Daphnia pulex: one gene and its partner. Each later gene encodes a partner of the first gene's protein in a complex. Links are inferred from orthologs where the notes say so. Each region holds a gene or a part of one and is shown on either strand. Other genes may lie near its edges.

Region 1 (4,518 bases):
ATTGGATGATGGATCTTATCAAACTCAAGCGATTAACATCCACACACGGCCACGAAAAGGTTAGTTATTCGGTATTTTATAATATAATTAAAAGAATTACTGATTTTTTTCTTCCCTTGCGTAGTTACTGGAGCAAGTTTCTTAGTATTAAATGGTGCTTTGAAAAGCTCCAGTGGTATAAGTGGTCGCTCTTCGATTGTTGAAGATGGAGTTATGGTACAACTCCTTCCAGATATGCTCAGTAATCTAAAACAAGCACTAATTCGAATGGAGAATTACACTATCCAATGCGGGAAAATAATCGATGATCAACCGGAAGAAACGGTTACACTTAAATGGGTAGATCAAGAACCATCTCCTGTTAATCTAGGGTAATTTATCAATGCATATTGTTTGAAAATTTTGTAAATTAACAATTGCTTGTTTGATAAAGAGTTCAATCTCCTATCGATGGTCGAAGCTTCACTGGGATATCATCGATTCGAGTGATGCAGCCGCGTGACTTTAAAGGCGAGGGTCATAGACTTTTGCGTTGGACAGAACTTTTTGTTATTCAAATAGAGGACAGTGCACGCTCTTCCTCTAATAGAATTGAGGATAATGGAGACATCACACGTTTCGCTGAAACTTTGGCCAAAGCTGCATCAGTGGCTCTGGCCGCCAAACTCGCAAGCCTCGAGCCTCACACTTTGATTGGGCTACGTGTTTCTTTGGACGGAGATTCGGTAAATTAGATTATACCTTTTTCTCTTAAAATATCAAATCATCCACCATGTTCGGCTTTGTCTAGGTGGAATATCAAGCAGGAGCCGGACAAACCTCCCTGCCGAATGCATGTGTCGAGGAACTGGATTCATCGCTAATCCCAATCTTACATCGAGAATCTTCAGGTCAAGGAGTTCCCTGTATAGTGGAACTTTGGTTTCAAGTCGTTCATCCGTAAATGGCGATTTCTTTGGCTGATGCTGATGCGACAGCTGTAACCGAAATGTGATTTGGCTTTGTAATATTTGTATAACAATGAAGTAGTGGCTTTTCTTATTGCTGCTATCCAAAAATTTTGTTACTCTGTTGTTATCACAAAGGTTCTATATACTGGTTGCCATTCCCCTCTTCCTTATCTTTTGAGAGAAAACATTTTCCCTCGTCTAAATACCAATAAACTTCGGTTAGTCATCTTATCTTTCCATTTGTTCGAAAAGTTATACTTCCTAACAATTTTTGAAATTAATATTTAATGATTTTAGTCATGTTAGCGTTTCCTTAACGCGAGCGCAAATTAGAAAACAAAATCATCGCACCTAATCTCATTTTCAAGATGAAAAAACCCATTGAAATAGACATTTTATCAATTTCAAATGCAGAATATAAGATGAGTTCATACAAAGATAAGTAAAAACGAGTGCATAGATGCAGTATTATATTTTGTCTAGTTTTATTTTTATCTTAGCTGTTGCCAATCGTAATCAGCTCCGCCATCTGTTATTAAACTTTTGAATTGCGTAAAGCCAGCCAATCAGAAAGCTTAAACAATGCGAACCAATAGGCGACGCTCCTCATCCCCAAGCTTGGGCGCCATTTTTTTTCAAAAAAGGGGAAGGGTACTGACAACAAGGCTTCCCGCCTCATGGAACTCCAATGGCCGCCATTCCCTAGTAGTCGCTCAAAACATACAGCTGCGGTGTGTCCGCTTTCTGAAAACAGTGCTAAGTAATTGAAACGAAACAGTAGTGTCGTGAGATTCTGTGGATTTGTTTACAATCATCTCACCATGGTGAGGTAAAACATCACTCATTTACCCGACCCGTTGCCAACTACGATTCAATACTCAAGGTAAAACGTGAAATCTCTATCTAGCATGCCTTGTTTCCCTCCACAAGTGGTGGGGACGATTATAGCAACAAAGCAGACTTTTCGAGTTGTGCGTTTGGCCCAGTCTGGACAGAGTTTTCGCTTTCTTTTGATGCTAGTTTTCTCTTAGGACAAAGAAATTTTCGAAAAGTTGTATTGCAATTTCAGAAAAATAAGTCAAGTCTGTTGTCGACTTTCTGGCGATTTTTTTACTTAAGCAGGTATACCCTTTTTTATGTTTAAATTCTCAGGAGAGCTGAAAAGGTCTTAGTCTCGCCTGGACAAAGAGTTTTACCTCTTTTAATCCAAACCGATAGAAGAATATGGTTTCAATTGTCTTGTCTGCAGGTAGAAAAAAAAACTTTAAAAAAATCGGTGTTTGGGAGTCAAAGATAACCGAGATAAGAACAAAGCCGGTTTTTTTTCTGTGAAGTGATTCTTATTATCTTGAAATCTTTAATTCAATTTCAAAAGTTATCGTTTCCCCAATGGAAAGTAACTCTTATTCCGACAGTCCATTTCATTTCCTAATTTCTTCGAAATTGGTAAACATTTCTGAAGCAAGTTTTGGTTTCAGCATTTTGTTTCCAAAAATGGAAAGTCGGGCCTCTCTCCATTGGTCATTAGCATTTCTTCGAGACGTCTACGTTTGTTCGTCGTTTTCCATTGTCCTTCTGGCACGGGTCTTTCATTATTACCGAAAAGCACATCTATCACTTTGATCTTAATAGGGAATTCGCTTCATGTTGGTGCTGACCACCTGCCCGATAATTGTGTTAGACCTGGTTTCCCCTCCACTAGAGTGAAGGCTGATTTGTATAGGGGGGTGACAGCAGCTGCTTGATGGCTAAACACAGGCGCGCCCGTATACGGCATTGTCTTTATTTAGTTCCGGGCAAGTTGGGGGGTACCATCGACAAGCTTTAAGTTTGATTCACTGTGTAGTCCCAGCAAAAGAGGTCAAGAGAGCACAGAACAAGCGACGCCGTCTATTTTTTTATATACGAGGGGTAAATATGGACGTCGAGATGGCATCAAAATAAAAGTTGCTCTCTTATGTTGGAACACAAGGGTTTTTTGCTTGCAGAGAGAGGGGAGATTGTGTTGGAATCGAGCGAGGGGGGCTGAATTCAGAAGAGAGGGGCAGCAGCTGTAGCAGATGTTCAATGCCGGCGTGCATACAGCGTCGTAGTGGTAGACTTCCTCTTTTTCTTTCACTCATGGCCGATTATGAAAGACCTTGTGCCTGTCCCACGGTTATCGATCCGTCCCCCTGGCTTTCTCTCTTGAGAGATTCTTCGAGGTTCTAGATCGCGCCACCCACCATAGGGAAACATTCCTTTTATCAGGCAAAGAAATGTGAGATCGAATAAGAGCGACGAGGGTGAATTTGGAGACGGAAGAAAATATTCCGTCTTTGCAGTGGAGCCCAGTCGTCTACTGTTTTTTTTCTTCTTCTATTATTCCTCTACTTCGGTCTTTTTACAGTACAGAGCTAATGTATTCTGAGTCATGTCGCCGGATAATCTCCCTTGCAACCATGTGCACACAAGAGCGTGAAGAACTTTCTTTTCCATTTGCAATCCATTCATTGTCCAAAACCCTACCGTAGGAATTTGAATGGGCGAACTGGAGCCATTGTCAACGCATACCTGTACCGTAAGACGTGAAATAATAACCCAGAAAATTGTGTGATTTTTTAGACCTGCCAAGTAGACGAGATGAACGACTTTGGAATGGACGCTGATAGCAACAGTTGGGGCTCGGATTATGGCGAGGACTTTGGATCGGATATTTCAGATGGTGAATATCAGCCGAACGGCGCCGCCACTGCCTCCAGCAGCGCCCAACACCACCAAGCGAGTTCAACAGCCACCTCCCGGGTTGCTACAAAAACCAAAGGAGGTGCCCAAGCCAGAAAAATGGTGAACCGCGGGAGATGGACCAAGGACGAAGTGAGTTTGCCTCCCCCGCCCACTACCTACCCCTTCAACTTTCAGCCCCAAGTCTTGTAGAGTTAATGATTTTCTTGCCCTTTTTGTAGGATGAAAAACTTAAAGGAGTTGTGGAACGCACCGGTGAAATTTGGGAGAACGTAGCCTCCTTCTTTGAAGATCGATCGGACGTTCAATGCCAACACCGATGGACAAAAGTCGTCAATCCTCAGCTGGTTAAGGGACCTTGGACCAAAGAGGTAAAATTTGTTTATACCTTTGTTTGTGTCTTTATTTTATTTTCCTTCTTTTCTTCTTGAAAATTCCGTGACTGATTCAATGAAAGCCTTATTTCCGGTTCATGTGTCGAGCATTTCCGCTTGACGATTACCTTGCCATTAAAAGAAAGTGTCCTCTCAAGATCGTACGGCCTGATAATTACCTTGAATGTTTTATGCTGTGTTGTATGGAGCAGAAACGATGTCATCACAAAGAAAACGTGAAGAATGGAGGGAACTTGCGGCAAATAGAGAGGATGCCGGATGCCAGAGGGGGGAAAGGAGGGAGTTTGAAGAGGGGAGAGAGAGCAAAGTTTAAAACAGGAAACCAAATTCTATGGCTTGGTGAAACAGCAGGGAATGTCCAAATTGAAAGAAGAAAAGGGCCGCAAGGGTTTAAGGCGGCTGGGTGAGGAATGAAGAAACGTGAAATTATAGTCTCAAGTGATGTGAAT
Region 2 (4,460 bases), on another chromosome or scaffold:
AGGGCAAAGTGAAATGGAATAGTTTATAGCCAGCAAAGACTATTGATGCACCCGGACATGCTCGTGTCAACGAGATGGATGAACAAGATATGAACACTAAGAGACGAAAATAACGAACGACATTGTTTTTGTACGACGGTAAACAAAAATGAACGAAGAAAACTGTTATCGACAATGAAACCTCACTTCTACTCGAAAATACATCGACAGGCACTTTTGCAAATATTCATCACCTGAGTTTTCAATGTTTCCAGTTGTCGATGCGGTCTCCTATACCGACAAGAGCTCACTCCGTCATCTTAATAGACACACACACGCGGTTCAGATTCCCACGAAAATCATCGATGGATACTCTCACTTGGCTTAAATTGGCGACATTGAAAAGGAGGTTCTAAGGAAAGGGTAAACACTGAACCGAGAACAAGCGAAGAGAAATGCATCCAATCAGCGAGGACAGCCGCATGTAAAGCGACAGTAGAAATGGACGCAATGAGACAACGCATCAGTAGAACCACACCCTTTAATTGATTTCCACGTCGGAGTTGTCTTCATCGTCATCCACATCGTCATCCTCGGAGTCTGAGAAACCTGTTGAGACCGACGCTGTAGGTGTAACTGCTCGAACACCTTGATTTCCAAAGTGATCTGAGGTTTCCTTAACCACAGGATTGACGTCCTCTGGCCACTGTGGCTCGGCCTGACCGCTAGCCAACTGATCTACATAATGTTCCAACGCTTTTGGAACATAAGACTTGGCCTAAAACGAGAAAAATTTAAAAATTAAGATAAACTTTAAAAATAAAAGAACAAAAATACCTTGGCGAGATTCTCTTCAGTACAAGTGGCCTCGTTAAGCCCAAGGGCCATGCCCATTCGCTTAAGGACTTCAATATCATCATGAATTTCGAAAGTATCATCAAAGGTGAAGAGATACTCCATCTTATCGCTAGATATGGAGCAGTCAATCACTGTTTTCTTGCTAGTATTTACGACCAAAAATGGTAGCTGTATGGTAGAATTACTGGCAGGGCCACCGTGAAGACGCTCATTTTGCTTGTTTCTTTGAACCTAAAGGTAAACAAGACGTGTCAGTAAAATGTTTCTGTTTTACTAGAAAAAACATTAACAACCAAGCTCTTGAAGGCGATCTGCTGAAGGACCAATTCTTGCAATTGTTGCGTCTTTTGCTTAATTCTTTCTAGCCGACGTTGCTTCTCCGCTTCCAGTGCCTGGAATTCTTGCAACGAATTTGTAGGTAAACCAAGCCACTTGATCTCTTTTTTCTCTTTCGATATGATGTTCATGGCCATGAGCACATTCAGTGCATCGTAAACCCGACGCCGAATATTTTTTTGGTCATACTGTCAATAAATTAACATTATTTCACTGATAAAAAGATGAATTTCTAATACGATACTAACTTGGTCAGCAGGTGAAGTGCAACGAGATGGATCAGTGAATTCAGCTACAAGTTCATCAGCAACCTCATTGTATGTTGTAGTACCCTTCTTCTGAACCTTTTCACACACCTTCATCGAGAAATGACGTAATCCTTTGCCTCCTTTGTCTACCTTACGCCGTTTACTATTAAAAATGAGTTTACTCATAAAACTACTCATTTGAAAAATAAAATGAAAAGTTACCTCTCAGAACCATGTTCATGGTCAGGATCTTGCCTTTTTCGTGAACCACTGTGATCAAGAATTGGGGAAATGAAGTTTTTGCCCTGTTGTTGTTGCTGATTTAAGCGTTGAGGAGTGCTCAACACAACAGGCACTACTGGTAACTGTACAGCAGTGTTTTTGTTACTCGGAGTAGATCCATTTCCTGATGATAATGGTATGGCTAGTATCTGTCCAGCTGCCACTTGTCCACGAGGTCCAGGTGCTCTTGTCACTCTGCCAAGTGACTGCAACATCTGAGGTGTGGCAGCCAAAACGGTTCCCTAAACAAATTTTCAGCCAACATTGTTAACATCTTTTACATTTTATTCAAGCACATCCTTGACTTACATTAGATCGCAGAACAGCTCTAACTGCTCCAGAAGCCATGGACACTGGAACACCTTTTCCAGCAGTGGCATGCACCACTTTTATCATTTGTGGCTGACCTGGAATGCAAACAACCATCATTTTATTATCTTGTTGAAAAGAATGAGATAATTTCTTAGTCTAGACTTTGACATACCATTTGCATCTTGGATCCAAATGTTGGTGATGTTTCCAGTTGGGGTTGACTGTGCCATCTCCTTAACCTCTTGTAAATTTATTTATATTATTTAACTGTAAAGAGAAGAGATCAAGGAAGATCCAATGTGCTGACAATGTTTTGTCAAACAAGCATCTTTGGTGGGTGGGACCAAAAGTATGATCAACTGAGCGCCGTTATAATTCGAACTTCCTGTCAAATTACAGATATCATCAAATTTCATATAGAACTATGATAGAATCTAAATAGACTAAAATGGAAATTCCCCGTATTTATTCCTCCAAATGATTTCAGAACACGATGAGCGAAATGGCGCCCAAAACGCCATCACCAGTCGATACCCCACACCGGTAAGTTTTCCCCCTTATTTTAAGATTTTTGCAGACATCTTCACTTAAACTTTCCAAGCTCAATGACAAATAGTATCCTCCTTTATTATCTAATTCACTTTATGAATAAAAAATAAAAATCCCCTCAATCCAAAACAAAAGAGACAATAGGGTTTACCTAAGGTTCTGGGCCAACTTTATACGATCGTCACTAGACACACACTGCTGTAGCATCAGCAGGCAGCTAGGCAAAAATGCACGAGGGGGTGATGATGGCACAGCAGGCCAACGGCTTAGTTTTTATTATATTTTTTTTTTCTTTATTTTTTCGTCCGGGGGGTTTACTGAGTGAGCGTCTTATATGTACGTCATATGAGACTGGGATTCAATTCAATTCTAACTTCTCCATGAGTTCGCTTTCTATCTATCGCAATTTGCAATGAAAAAAAAATCGATACTTTCAACGGGCAGAAATTCGAAATTCAAACAAACTCGTGACCTTGGGTCGTTGGGTGAGAACAAAAATATGAACAAATGATTTTCGATTTTCCTTGCTCGTTTAATTTCTCCTTTTCTCTTTTTCAAATATTCATGTAAAATACTAAGTAGCGCTAAAACATGAAGGAGAAAGAGGAAATTAATTAAGCGCAGGCAAGTGTTCAGCGATTTCGTTATTTTATTTTATTAATTTCTGAAATATATTTTTTTTATTTCGCTCTTTTAAATTGGTCTATTTTTTTAATTTGGCTGTTAATACAGTTATCGTAATAAATGTATCGTAATAACTAAGTGCTAATTTGATTAATTTCATGGGAAAAGCGTTAAATTTTTATTGAAATCGAGCATGAATATGAATGAAATCATAAATCAGAAGGCTAAGTAAAATCAAACGTCGTCTGCTTTTCCGGATACGCGGGAACCATTTCAAACATAAACTAAAATATTATTTTATCTTAAAAACTAGTAAAAAAGTAGTTTGATATTAATATATCGTTTTTTCACAGGTGTAATTCAGTGTTTTATCAAGTTGTTTAGATTCTCATAATTTTTGTTCGGTTTTCTTATTTCAGATCAATTGCTATGGCAATGTGGCAACACCGGTTCTGCCATAGAAGTATTGTCAATTGCAGAAAAAATCGAAAGAAATTTCCTAAATGAATGTTGAAGTGTTTGCGAGCCGGCGTTTAGAATGCACGTGGATATACTACCAGATATTATACTAGGAAATATTTTCTCATATTTGCCGCTGCAGGATTTAAGAAGCAGTTCGTTGGTGTGCAAACGGTGGTACAGGTACAAGTTTTCTTGAAATCAACACCAGTTTGTGACTATTCGCTAGTGATCTACCGTTGCTAACAAAACCAGCGATTGTTTGAAACTTATGTTCTCCTTGCACATTATTATTTGAATCAGTATACTGAATGATGAGGACAATGATGTCTGGAGACTGCACTGCATACGAAAACTGGCAGAAGAAGTCCTGAGCTCAGACCTCCTATCTTCCGCTCCTACCTACAAAACAAAATTAAAAGCATTTCACCATGCTTGGAACCCAGAAGACTGCTCTAGAAACATTTATATCAAACCCAATGGTTTTACCATACACAGAAACCCTGTTGCACAGAGTACAGATGCTGTGAGAGGTAAAATTGGTGAGTACTAAATATTGTAGATGCCTGTTGCAAGTGTACATATTAATCCATTCAACTAATGTTTGTGCAGGATTCAGTCAAGGTAGGCATGCCTGGGAAGTGATGTGGGAAGGTCCTCTTGGAACAGTTGCAGTTGTTGGAATTGCAACTAAAGAAGCAACTCTCCAGGTATAATTGTGTTAAAATTTGAATATTTTATCTAAAAATAATTGTCAAAATCCATGTTCACAGACACATGGATACATAGCTTTACTAGGATCAGATGACCAAA

Evidence for each region. The genes of interacting proteins can lie anywhere in the genome.
Region 2: myb-related protein A-like (region 1) and transcription factor Dp-1-like share a complex: the UniProt entries of both Drosophila melanogaster proteins name them as parts of the DREAM complex. The link is inferred for Daphnia pulex from reciprocal best matches to the Drosophila melanogaster genes Myb and Dp.

Annotation. Positions count from the first base shown.
Region 1 is NC_060022.1:6,349,452-6,353,969, forward strand, and holds the start of myb-related protein A-like, read left to right. Parts: upstream 1-1,592; 5' UTR 1,593-1,833; intron 1,834-1,913; exon of another isoform or gene 1,914-2,072; intron 2,073-3,554; 5' UTR 3,555-3,572; coding exon 3,573-3,806; intron 3,807-3,895; coding exon 3,896-4,045; intron 4,046-4,518. Other genes in the region: zinc finger FYVE domain-containing protein 9-like, read left to right, coding at 1-59, 125-371, 434-725, 791-943. UniProt on the Drosophila melanogaster protein: DNA-binding protein that specifically recognizes the sequence 5'-YAAC[GT]G-3'. Component of the DREAM complex, a multiprotein complex that can both act as a transcription activator or repressor depending on the context.
Region 2 is NC_060023.1:5,717,402-5,721,861, reverse strand, and holds the start of transcription factor Dp-1-like, read right to left. Parts: upstream 2,948-4,460; 5' UTR 2,716-2,947; intron 2,656-2,715; exon of another isoform or gene 2,401-2,655; 5' UTR 2,246-2,400; coding exon 2,188-2,245; intron 2,111-2,187; coding exon 2,013-2,110; intron 1,946-2,012; coding exon 1,644-1,945; intron 1,585-1,643; coding exon 1,422-1,584; intron 1,362-1,421; coding exon 1,131-1,361; intron 1,069-1,130; coding exon 817-1,068; intron 758-816; coding exon 521-757; 3' UTR 1-520. Other genes in the region: F-box/SPRY domain-containing protein 1-like, read left to right, coding at 3,727-3,830, 3,951-4,189, 4,260-4,357, 4,421-4,460. UniProt on the Drosophila melanogaster protein: Component of the DREAM complex, a multiprotein complex that can both act as a transcription activator or repressor depending on the context. In follicle cells, the complex plays a central role in the site-specific DNA replication at the chorion loci.